Linked DNA regions of Callithrix jacchus. The protein of the gene in region 3 purifies or fractionates together with the protein of the main gene of each other region. This does not show direct contact. Links are inferred from orthologs where the notes say so. Each region holds a gene or a part of one and is shown on either strand. Other genes may lie near its edges.

Region 1 (4,261 bases), on a different chromosome or scaffold from region 3:
GATTTTTTAAGATAGATTGTTTTAGATAGATCTTTTTTATTCCTTTCCTTCCCTTCCTTTTTATTCCCCACCCCTCCCCTCTGCCTCCAAAGAAAACCACACAAATTTCTTACCCTTTAGTGCCAAAAAACAAGTACTCAAAATGTTTGTTAAATGCCACCAGTTACTTTCATTCCTGAAAATCAACAAGGCAAATTTTATTTACTTTTAATCAAAAGAGATGTTTTGCCCAAGTGCGGTGCCTCATGCTTGTAATCACAGCACTTTGGGAGACCAAGGTGGGCATATCGTTTGAGGCCAGGAATTTAAAACAACTTTTGGCCTGGCCAACATGGCGAAACCCCATCTGTATTGAAAATACAAAAAATTGGCCAGGCGTGGTGGCGGCACACGCCTTGTAATCCCAGCTTCTCGGGTGACTGAGGGGCAAGGGCGAAACCCCATCTCTACTAAAAATACAAAAATTAGCCAGGCATGGTGTCACGAGCCTGTAATTGCAGCTACTCAGTGGCTAAGGGACAAGAATCACTTGAACCCAGGAAGCGGAGGTTGCAGTGAGAGGAGATTGCACCACTGTGCAGTCTGTCTGGGCAACAGAGCAAAACTCTGTTGATGTTGTTGTTGAGAGAGAGAGAGAGAGAGAGAGAGAGAGAGAGAGAGAGAGAGAGAGATGTTTCTAAGTGAGATCACTAAATCAGGGATTTAGGTAAGTAGTAGTCTTCAGTGGTAAGATTTTAAAATTAGCATGTCTCAGCCAACTAGAAAGAACATTTTTTTCTCTCAATTGAAATTTCTTGGTATGGCGGATTTTATGTAATTTAAATCTTGTATTTTGTTATTTTTTTCAAATTTTAGAATGTTTTAAAATATACTCCTGGTAATAGATGTATATCAGCAGATTATAAGTTTGATAAGCAATACTGACATACTAAGTGTCTGTAGTTCTGTATGTATTAGACCTAAATCAATGTATTAGAAACTTTCCATTTTTAAAAGTGCTATTTCAGATTGTTTTATTTATATGTTTTATAAATTTGTTTTGTAATATCCATTTCATACTAGTTTTTTTGATGAAAAGTTAGCTGTTTATAAGGATTCATAAAATCTGTATATTAGTTGATTTCCTAGAAAAAAATACAGCCTGTCTTTAGCATGTTGTATTTGGAGGACAGCTTGGCCTTCAGTTGTTTGCATAGACTTGTCATACATGTTTAACTAGTTTTATTTAAATGTTCAGCCTACTAGTTTTATATTTAATGCTCTCATTGCATTGACCTGTATATTAATATTAAAACACCCAAACACAAAGCCTTTTAGGCAGATATTGCAAGTTTTTAAAATCCTCATCTCTAGCTGAGATGAAAAGTGTTTTGCTAAGAAAAGCTCAGTAATGTGCTGTTTTATATTAACAGGAAACAGAACAGCAGTAGTGGTTTGAATACCCTGCAAACAGGAAGTTTGAGACATGCATAGCTCTTAGCTTCTGTGTAAGAAGTTGTGAGCTCTTTCTGGGAATATTTGCAGTTACATTAAGTAAAGTGTAAATGCACATGAATGGCAGCTTATAGAGAACCACCTTGTAACCAGTATACAGGTACAACTACAGCTCTTCAGAAATTGGAAGGTTTTGCTAGCCGGTTATTTCATAGACACTCCAAAGGTACTGCACATGATCAGAAAACAGCTCTGGAAAATGACAGCCTTCATTTCTCTGAACATACTGCCTTATGGGACAGATCAAGTAAGTTTTATTTTTTAAATGCTACGTTATAACTAGCAGCTAAAATGGTAATTGGAGTTTTACAATCAAACATAAAGAACCCTCTTTTGTTTGTCGTTTTCTAATTTTCACAAGGACATTTTACAAGATAAAGTTAAAAGAATTCCACAAAAACTTGATTGTAAGTTGAACTGAATCATGCAGCTTTCATCGTTGTATGGTTTTATTTCTGACAATTTAAGTTCAATATCGGTGACAGAGTTTTCTACAAAATACTTAAGATTTAGAAACAATCATCTGTTTACTTCTTAAAATGTTTTGTATTTTTAAGCTTTAAACTTTGAAAGGGCAACAAGACTCTTGAATTTATAATTAGATTTCTATTGTGTTTGCCATGTTTTTATTTTTAAATGCATGGGTGAAAGTTATTTCAGTTTTACAAACAGGAATTTAAAAAATAAAACCATAATTATTCTATTTAAATTCTTACATTTATAACATGGCTATCAAAACTTTATATTTCATGTTATTTATACATATGACTGAAATGCAGGAAAAAATTGATTATGCATGAATCGCATTCCTTCCAGGCACATTAAAATGTTTGGACTTACTACTTTGCTTAACTGGTACCATGGAACCATTTTTGGTGCCATACACTCTAAAAGATAAGTTGCACATATAAACAATACTAGTGCCGCCATTCTTCATCTCACCTTGGACCCTCCTTAATGTATTTTTGTCACTCCGATTAGAGGAACAATAGAATTACCCTTGAAACTTTTGCCCTCTTTGGTGTGTTTGTTTGATCATCAGATAGCACTAGGGTTTGATCTTTCTGTTTATGTATTCGATAGCAGTTAAGGAAGAAAATTCAGTTTAACAACAGCCAAGCAAAATCAAGAATGGCTTATAAAAGTTACTTATAGGTTTATACAGCACCTTAACAGTGTTATAGAAGCTTATTTGAATTAATTTTTTACTGAATCAGAAATTTTTTTACATTCTTCAAACTATTTTAGGGAGATTGAGGAAGAACATATATTTGTACACTTTTTTCCACTTAAAAGGTTTTGGGTTAAAGTAGTCTTTACTTTATAGCAAGTTGATGGATTAGGAATATGAATTATATATATACATACATATATATAAAATCAAGTTAATGAACTGTTGAATATTGAAATAATGACATATTATTAAACTTTACCATGTAACAGTAACAATAGCTTATTAATTGTTATCTTTGCCTTATTCTTTTAAATTGCAGTCTCCTAAATCCTTTTGAAAATTATTTATGCATTTCAAATATATTTTAATTTAAAGTTAAATGAGGAATAAAGACAGAATTGAATTAATTTCTGTTTCATTAATACCTGCTCCTTGTATAGTGGATGTTTAGTAAAAATGTCTCAAATAAATTAATGTTAGGGGTTTTTAATAATTAAAAGGTATGTTTGAACTAGACTTTCACCACTTTTTAAATGTATGGGACCTGCAATGCTTTCTAAAACACATTTTAAAATCTAGTAATGGAAAATAGTATAAGCCATGGTTTCTATTGGAAAAACAGACTGATAAAATGCTGTTTTTCATTTATTTTTAATCGTGAAGTCAAAACAAATAAAATCATTGTTCACAAAAAATTAGGAGCAAACCATGTAGCCCTGCAAATAATATACATGGTGTAAGAAATACTTAAAGATTAACTGAATGTTCATTAAAGTATTCCTTTACTTGACTCTCCTTTTTATATCCCCAAATACCATAGTAGAGATAATAATTTTATATCTAAGGATGAGTATGGTAGCATGAAGCTCTAATTATGAAATGTGTTGATATGGAGGAGAAAACAGTGATAGAGCTGAAATAGAGGAATCCTATCATTTCAAAATTCCGAGGTTTATTTTTATGGTGAAAACATAATTTTTATTCATTTGGCAAATTAGCTATAGAAGGAGTTCTGACTGTACAAAGTTTCATATGAACCACATTCTTCAAAGCTTCCTAAAGCAGTTTACTTGTATGACTCGTTTGACAAGAAAGGGGAATGTAATGTCTCCTGATGATAAACACTGAATATATTTGTTCCTAAAGTGTTTTTTTAAATGAAATCAACTAAGCATAGAAACTATACCAAGTTACAAAAAAATTAAGTTCATAAACTGTTGTATAAAAATTGATTACTAATTTAGGAGATATGAAATGCATCAAGCTTTAATCCAAGTTTCTTTCTTGTCCAGTGACATTATATGTAGGAAGAAACACAGAACAAAGACCACATAGTGGTCTCCAGGTGTTTCATCCTTTACTGTTAAACTTACAGAAATTCATGTTTGATTAAATAAATGTGTAACAGCTAATTGCATGCACATATAAATACATGAAGTTCATAGAAAAGCATGGAGGAATTCTGCTTTTTGTTCCAACTCAGAATGAATGAGAGTATTGACATTCATTAAGTTCTCTTTCTAGCAAATTTATTATGGTTAGCTTTTTAATCTTCGTTAGATCATAAATGTGTAAAGGTATATAATGCTGACT
Region 2 (4,152 bases), on a different chromosome or scaffold from region 3:
TAGGGCCCTGAGTGTAGGGGAAGCCCATGCCTTACCTGCAAAGCAGAGCCCACTTACCCTGGGTGTTGGCAGGTCCAGCACTCCATGCACCATAGCCTGCAAGAAGACCCTGTGAGTTAAGATTCTATTTGTCACACTAGAGAATGGGTCCTTTTGGGGGTACTCTGAGGAGCCTAAAGGGATCTCCTTGCAGTTCAGTGCCAGCTGTACAAAAAGGAAGAACCCACCCCCACCTCCAAAGGCCCTCCCACAGCTGGCTAATTCTTATATCATCACACTCCACCTGGCTGAAGTCAAAGCAGAAAAAGGGGAGAGGGAAGTGGGCTTGGAAGTCAGCTCTGCCATGCAGAGAAACTTTGGCCCAGGAGCTTACCCTTCCAAGCTTCGCTCCACAACTGAGGCTAACACAAGGCAATCCACTCACCATGAGGACACATTCCCCCACCCATCACACAGCTAGGAAACTGGCTGAGACTGACATCACAAGGACCCCATAATTGGAAACAAGCATGGGAATTTGGTGGCATAAACTGCAACTCTCTAAGCTGCACTTCCTGCTACTTTAAGCCCTCTAAGGATCCCCTGAATCCTTAAGAGTCCCAGAGTCTTGGCCTGGCCTTAAGACTCTGTACTCCTCACCCTTCCAACACCCCTGCCCACTATGGCATCTGTCTGGTCCCTCCAGGAAAGAAGACTGGAACTGTATTCTCTTCATTTCTGTGTTCCTGGGACCCAGCACTGAGCTGAGAAGCCACTATGCTTGTCAAAAGACTTCACTTTGATAAGGGAGGAATACATCCTTGTCTACCTCAACAGAGCACCCCCCACCTCTAAGCGCCTAGTGTGTGCCGATACACGGCAAGTACAAAGAAAACCCTGTTGTTCCAGAATGCCATTCGGGAGAAGGGAACTAGGCTCATGGATTATGAGACTTGACCCAGTCATACTGCTGAGTTTTGCCCTCTGCTATGCTATGCCTTCCCTTCCCTGTCATACTGCAAGGCCCTCTAAATCTGTATCCGTATTCTAACAGCAAGTAACCAACCTCGTAAGACTGCTTCCTTAAGTGGCATGCGCTATTAAGTCAACCTGAAAACCCTCCCTGAAACACAAGAAATCAGGGAAGCTGAAGTATCTCCACTAAGTCTGAAAGGTTTTCAGGAGATAGGAAGAGTGGGTAAAAAAATCTCCAAACTGGCTGGGCGCGGTGGCTCATGCCTATAATCCCAGCACTTTGGGAGGCCGAGGCAGGTGGATCACGAGGTCAAGAGATCGAGACCATCCTGGTCTACTAAAAATACAAAAATTAGCTGGGCACGGTGGCGCGCGCCTGTAGTCCCAGCTACTCGGGAGGCTGAGGCAGGAGAATTGCTTGAACCCAGGAGGCGGTGACTGCGGTGTGCCGGAATCGTGCCATTACACTCCAGCCTGGGTAACAAGAGCGAAACTCCGTCTCAAGAACAAAACAAATCTCCAAATTAAGACTGAAAAAGAGGAATACAGCACCTGCAAAAAAGATCTGATGGGAAGAAAGGAAAAGAATAGTGAAATCTACCTAGGCTGTGGGTCTGGTACACACCTAAAGCACACGGGCACAGGCTCCCACCTCAGAACCGACCCCTCTCTGTCCTCAATTTCTGCTGCTGGGATCCTTTTGCCCTGACACTTCTCAAGACCGACAACTTCTCGAGCTCTTGCAGCCAGGATCACACCACTAGCTTCTCTACAACCAGTCGAGCCCCACCCAGCATGTCCCAAATATCCCGTGGGCAAACTTGGCTCTCAGAGGGCTCTGATTCCACAAGCTGGGAGCAGGCAGCTAGAGAAGATCGGATCTACTGCAGGGAAACCGCTAAAACCAAGTGGGGAAAGGGCACGTTCCCTCTTGCACAGCTCCTTGGCCCCTCCAACAGACTGCCTAAAGGAGAACGGCTAATCTGTCACCAGCCCCAGGGCACATCAGGTTTCCAGCTTTGCACCAACACTCAGCACCTGCCCCTCACTATCCTGTCCCGGGACAACACAGGCCGGGTACGGAGCTGGAGCCCGGCAAAGCTGACTCCTGCGCCGGCCACACTCGACCCCACCACGCTGCACCCGGCACTAAAGGGCCGACCTCACGCAGCCCGACAGCTTCTGGGACAGGCTCCCTGAGCCACGTGAGCCCAGCGGAGGCCCCCACCTGGCCCCGCAGGCCTAGGACAAGCCTGCAGAAAGGCAGCCCCCGCGGTCAGCCGGCGGCCCCAGACTCCGGGCCCCGGGCCGGACCTCAGGACCCCACGCTGTGGCTCCACCCCCTAGCGCCGCCATTTTGTGGCGTCTTCGGAAGAGGAAGTCGGGAGTGCGAACACCGGTGTCGGTAGGGACCGGACGGGCCCCACGGAAGCTGCGAGGCAGAAACGGCCCACACGGCCCAAGGCACCCCCACATAAAGCCCACCGCGGCCTCTACCCCAACCCCGAGTCCCGCCCGCCTCCTCAGGCCCTGACGGCCAATCCGCACGCAGCGCCCCGGGAGCGACGGCGCCAAAACCCAATGAGCGGCGCGCCCGCGCGCGCGCCCCGACCTCCTCTTCGTAGGTCCCGGCTGCGGCAACCACGCTCCGGACGAAGCCCCGGCCCGTGGCCGTCTGCGCTGCGGCTGCGCCGCCCGCACAGCGCCTTTCCTCCCCGCTCCGCGCCCAGCAGCCAACACAAACCTCCGTAACCCTGGTCCATGGCTTCGACGCGGCCCACCAGCAACCCCTTTTACTAGGCGGCCACGGGACGCATGCGTTCAACGCACCTCCACCGTCGACTACTGGAAGATCAGGCGCTACGTCACTACTTCCGCGCGCTCCTATTGGCAGGTCTTCAAAAAGGCCCGCCCCCGCCGTCCCATCTGGCCTTTCGGGCTCCTCAGAATCCGCATCCGTAGCGTATCGGGAGTTGTGGTGCGGCTGCTGTGCCAGAGGGCCCAGCCCCTGCGCATGCGCATCCAGCTTCTCTGCCCGAGCCCAGTCCCGCCCTGCCCCGCCCCGCCGGCGAGGCAGTCACCGAGAAAGCTGGAGATGGGATGGAAAACTTTATTAGGATTGGTTTCCAGCTTCGGCCCCACGGGCCCCGCCCGCCCCGAGCTCAGGTCACGGGGCAACCCCGCCGCCCTCCTCGTCGTCCTCCACGTCGAGACCCGGGATGCCGCGGATCTGGCGCTGCAGCGCCCCTCCCAGCAGGGGCACGGCACCTTCCTCCTCCTCCTCTGGGGGCGGCGGTGGTGGTGGCGACGCGGCCACTGGGGCCGGCTCTGGGGGAACGGGGGGCTGCGCCGGCGCGCCCTCTGCACCCTCCGAGACCCCTGCCGCTTCGCCCTGCGCCCCCTCGTCCGGGGCGCACCCCTCAGCCTCCTCCTGCTCCTTCTCCTCCTCGGGGCTGTCGGTGAAAGGGTTCTCTCCCTGCAGGGAGGGGCGCGGACACTGAACGAGGGAGCACAGGCGGGGACTGGCCTGGGGTCAGGGCCAGCGCGGGACCAGCGGCTCACCTTCAGATAGCGCTCCAGCTTCTTGCTGATGAGCTTGTTGTTGAGGATGCTGCGGGCCACCATGAGCGAGGACTTCTTGGACTGCTCCATCATGAGCTGCAGGCAGGGCAGAAGGGGCTGGAGAGGCTGCTCTAGGTGACCTGTAATTCCCCCACCCCCACCCTGCCAGCTCAGAGGGACCACCCCCGCCCCCACACCCACGCACTTACACCTGGGGCGCAGCCCTACCAACGAAGGGCCATTCTACAAGCAGGGAACCACGATCTATCTGATCTTTGTTCAAATTCCCTCTCCTTCCACACAATTACTGTAGGTGATTAAAAATACAGATCTATAGATCTCTGTATGTCTTTATGGCTGTATTACAGAATTCTGGTTTGCTTACAAAAAAGCTGTAAGCAGCGAACAAATCAAACTAAGAGCCAAAGGTGCAAAACCCGTATCAAGGAGACAACTAGGCTAACAGGCAAGGAGCACTTTGGGGCCAACGGGGAGGATATAAAAGCAGGAACAGATATTTAATGAAACGTCTTTTTAACCCACAGAATTCCAAGAATGAAAAATTCTTCCCAGTCATGCAAGGTTAGAGACACTTCTCTGCTGGTGGGAGGATCAACTATTTCCATTATTTTTTTA
Region 3 (4,020 bases):
TAACTTGAATACTAGGCCAGACCAGATACAACTCAGAACTAGTTTTGTGTGTGTGATCTGATAACACTAAGATTCTAGCTTGGCCTCTCAAATGGTGTCATTGTTTTGTTAAATTTTAGTTGTTCAAAAGTAGGCTAATTCTACTCTTTTTTTTTTGAGACAGAGTTTCGCTCTTGTTACCCAGGCTGGAGTGCAATGGCACGATCTCGGCTCAACGTAACCTCCGCCTACTGGGTTCAGGCAATTCTCCTGCCTCAGCCTCCTGAGGAGCTGGGACTACAGGCACACGCCACCATGCCCAGCTAATTTTTTGTATTTTTAGTAAAGATGGGGTTTCACCATGTTGACCAGGATGGTCTCGATCTCGTGACCTCGTGATCCACCTGCCTCGGCCTCCCAAAGTGCTGGGATTACAGGCTTGAGCCACCGTGCCCAGCCAATTCTACTCTTAAATTGACAAAGCATATGTTGAAGAAACAAGGAAACTCTAATTGTTTCTTAACACCCTTGCTTAGATCAGATGTAGAAAGTGTTATTTTGGCCAGGAACAGTAGCTCTTGCCTGTAATCCCAGCACTTTGGGAGGCCAAGCACTTTGTAGTGGCACATGCCTATAGTCCCCACTACGTGATAGGCCAAAGTGCGAGAATACCTTGAGCTTAGGAGGTTGGGGCTGCAGTGAGCCCTGATTGCACCACTACACTCCAGCCCAGGTGACAGAGCGAGATCCTGTCTTTCAAAAAAAATAGCTGTGATGATCTTGGATCATCAATTTTGTGAGGGGAGGGACACTCTCAACTTGTTTCCTACTCAGTCCTGATTGCATACTCTTGGAGGTTTACTGACCACTACTAAATAATAAATCTTGACACTGAGCCCTGATTGTACCACTATGCTGCAATCTGGGTAACAGAGTGAGATACATTTTTTTTTTTTTTTTTTTGAGATCCTGTCTTAAAAAAAAAAGTGTGATGATCTTGGATCACCAACTTTGTGAGGAGAGGGACAGTTTCCAACTTGTTTCCTGCTCAGTTCTTACTGCATACTCTTGAAAAAGGTTTACTATTACTAAATGATAAATCTTGGCACAGCAAGCAGAACCAATGAAGCTGCTCTCCTGACCTCACAGTCTCAGCTGGGATCCTTTGCTTTAAAGCTACAACCCAGAGTAAACAAGAAGATAGTTATTGGGTTTTTCCTTTTTTTTTCTGAGACAGAGTCTTGCTCTGTCGCCCAGGCTGGAGTGCAGTGGCATGATCTTGTCTCACTGCAACCTCCACCTCCCGGGTTCAAGCGATTCTCCCTGCCTCAGCCTCCTCAGCAGCTGGGATTACAGGCACCCCCACCCCACACACCCAGCTAATTTTTGTATTTTTAGTAGAGACAGGGTTTCGTCATGTTAGTCAGGCTGGTCTCAAACTCCTGACCTCAGGTAATCCACAGGCCTCGCCTCCCAAAGTGCTAGGATTACAGGAGTAAGCCACCACACCTGGCCAGGTTTTTCCTTTTTTAAAGTGGAGTAGGGTGTCTATTTTGCCCAGGCTGGTCTCCAACTCTTGGACTCAAGGGATATCTCTCCCTCAGCCTTCAGAGTAGCTGGGACTACAGGGCCCCACTGCCCCGGCTGGCAAGATAATTATTTACTCTCGCCAAATTTGATTCAATCATTTTGGCCAAATTTTTTAAAATAGGAATTTCCCAGGTACCATATTTTAAGAAATACATACTCAAGTAAGCAGAAGTGAAATGACCTGAGAGATTTGCTTCAATGAACTTTGGCAAAGAAAGAAAAAAAGGTATAGATGAAACTTTGTGACAAATACGACCGTTAAATATAGGTGATGGCATAGAGGGATTTATCTCACCTTTCCTCTTTTATCTATGTTTAAAAGTTTTCACAGTAACTTTTCAAAAAAATGAATTATTTCCAAACAAACTTACTGTCCTATCAATTAAACACGAGTCACTGGATGTGAATGCTCTTGTCTTCGAAGCCAAACCTGGTGAAGTGTCTCAAGACAAGGTGAGGGATCCTCTGGCGGGGCCGACAACGCGCAGGTTTCCTTCAAGACTGAATCTGACTCGGTACGTTCCAGGGCTCGCAGGACCGCGGAACTCAGTTTGGAAGTGGCGCACGCGGGCTCACGCCGGTGTCTCAGGGAAGCGCTAGAAGCTCCCAGTCTCAGCCCGCAGTCGGCTGGCCCCCAGCGCGACAACCGGCCCCCCGCCACCCCTCTAGACCTCTGGAGATCTCCTGCACCATTCCCCAGGGCCCCGCCCACAGCCTACCTTCCAAGTCCTCGTCCTCCTCCGACTCGCTGTCCCCGTTGGCGTCGGCGACGTGGTCTGGGCCGGGTTCTGGCGTGGTGTGGCCCAGACTCTGGCGTGGGGTGGCGTCGGGCAGGACTGAGGCAGGGGCACGGGCCTCGCGCAGGCGGGTGAAGTAGTCCACCGCGAATTTGACGAGGTCAGGCGGCTGCTGTCGCAGCACCTCCACTGTGTAGCCCTGCAGCAGCTCCGTGAGCCCCGGCGGGATCTGGATGTGGCTCATGCCGGCGGCGGCTGAGGGGACGGACGGGTTGGGCCGCCTGCGGCCACTGTCTCCGCGCTCACTCACGTCGGCCTTTTGCTCCCCGCCCGCAAGGTCTCTAAGCGCGCGGCCCAGGCTCGGCCTTCCTCGCGTCGCGCGGCTCTTTGGCCGGCTCTGCGTTTCCGGGCGGTGCAACCCTACGCTACCACGGCCGGCCTGGCACCGCCGCCGCTGTCACTGGGCAGCCGCTGCCGCCGCGGGGACCGACGGGCAGGCGAGGGGGACGAGCGGGGCGGGCACCCTGGTTGTGTCGCACGCGTCCGCGGACGTGCGCGTCCCCGCCTAGGACCGGCCCTCATTGCGCTTGCGCCACTGGGCGGCCCGCCCCTTGGACTGTCGGGGGGTCAAGGCAGTGGAGGGTTCCAGCTGCCAGCTCCCAGCGGGAATCCAGGGAATTAAGTAATGAATGGTCTACCCATGAAGAGGACCGATTAGTGCCTCTCGCCTGGTCCTGAAGACCTTTAAATTATTCTTTCAGTAAATGCCAAGAGTCTCCTGTTTGCTGGCACTTAGCACCAGAGACACAGCGAGACGCAGAAACATATGAGCACCTCAGTGTGGTTCTGCTGTGATGAAGGGCAAGAGAGGGCTCACTTTCAGGGGTGACATTCAAGCTGGCCCTGAGGCCTGAGCAGGACCCGACCAGGCGAAGATCTGGAGGAAAGCTATCTGAACATAGAACAAGAGCAAAGGCCTGGTGGAGTCAGGACTCCCGTGGCTGCCAGGTGGAATGGTGAATTAACTCAGGAGTCTGGCAGGTCTCTGAGACGTCAAATGCGGAAGGCCTTGTAGGAAGTAGGCGTTTCAGTGACATCATAATTTGAGAGCCACTGGCAGAAAATAAATTTGAAAGAGTTCACTCAGCCAAATGAATACAGTGAGAAAGGGAAGTAAGGCCAAAAGCAGGAAAGACTTCTGTGCCTGTTCCTCCTGGAGCACTCTCACCAGGGTCCACAGGTCTAGGTCTGCCCACTCCTCTCCCCACACACTACACTGGACCCTAGGCCAACACTGCTTGATGAAGTTGAGCAGACCACAAAGTGTTGTTATCCTTTGCCCCTGGGGAGATGGTATAAGTGAACTGCAGAGGCCAGGCTATTTCCCAAATTGCTCTCCTCCTCCTTCCAAACTGGAAGGGAGTTAAAAAAGATGAAGACCTTCCTGGGATATCAGACCACAGCCTACGTGCTAACCAAAAGGCCCACTGGGCACAGGGCAGAGTCCCCCCCTCTCCTTTCCAGGCCCAGGCAGGAAGACAGTAGCTGTAGGTTTGGGAACCTGAAGGCATTTGGGATGCTTAAACACCACCTGGTAATTACCCAGTATTAATTAAAATCCTCCCTAGCACCTCCCATACAGGCTTGGCACACACCCAGGAGCTCAATGCTGCTGGGAGCTGAGCAACTGGGAGCAAGGAGCACCTCATCCCCA

Evidence for each region. The genes of interacting proteins can lie anywhere in the genome.
Region 1: the proteins of PRKAR2A (region 3) and PRKACB purify together in Homo sapiens (affinity purification with mass spectrometry; 6 studies listed by BioGRID and IntAct, counting the BioPlex papers as one, with this or other methods). This does not show direct contact. The link is inferred for Callithrix jacchus from reciprocal best matches to the Homo sapiens genes PRKAR2A and PRKACB.
Region 2: the proteins of PRKAR2A (region 3) and AKAP8 purify together in Homo sapiens (affinity purification with western blotting; 3 studies listed by BioGRID and IntAct, with this or other methods). This does not show direct contact. The link is inferred for Callithrix jacchus from reciprocal best matches to the Homo sapiens genes PRKAR2A and AKAP8.

What each region holds. Positions count from the first base shown.
Region 1 is NC_133508.1:121,359,583-121,363,843, forward strand, and holds the start of PRKACB (cAMP-dependent protein kinase catalytic subunit beta), read left to right. Parts: upstream 1-1,460; 5' UTR 1,461-1,554; coding exon 1,555-1,741; intron 1,742-4,261. UniProt on the Homo sapiens protein: Mediates cAMP-dependent signaling triggered by receptor binding to GPCRs.
Region 2 is NC_133523.1:14,076,801-14,080,952, forward strand, and holds the start of AKAP8 (A-kinase anchor protein 8), read right to left. Parts: upstream 2,802-4,152; 5' UTR 2,718-2,801; coding exon 2,567-2,717; intron 2,461-2,566; exon of another isoform or gene 2,183-2,460; intron 97-2,182; coding exon 58-96; coding exon of another isoform or gene 36-57; intron 1-35. Other genes in the region: AKAP8L (A-kinase anchor protein 8-like), read right to left, coding at 3,122-3,430, 3,517-3,612. UniProt on the Homo sapiens protein: Anchoring protein that mediates the subcellular compartmentation of cAMP-dependent protein kinase (PKA type II).
Region 3 is NC_133516.1:31,471,584-31,475,603, forward strand, and holds the start of PRKAR2A (cAMP-dependent protein kinase type II-alpha regulatory subunit), read right to left. Parts: upstream 2,806-4,020; 5' UTR 2,551-2,805; coding exon 2,289-2,550; intron 1-2,288. UniProt on the Homo sapiens protein: Regulatory subunit of the cAMP-dependent protein kinases involved in cAMP signaling in cells. Type II regulatory chains mediate membrane association by binding to anchoring proteins, including the MAP2 kinase.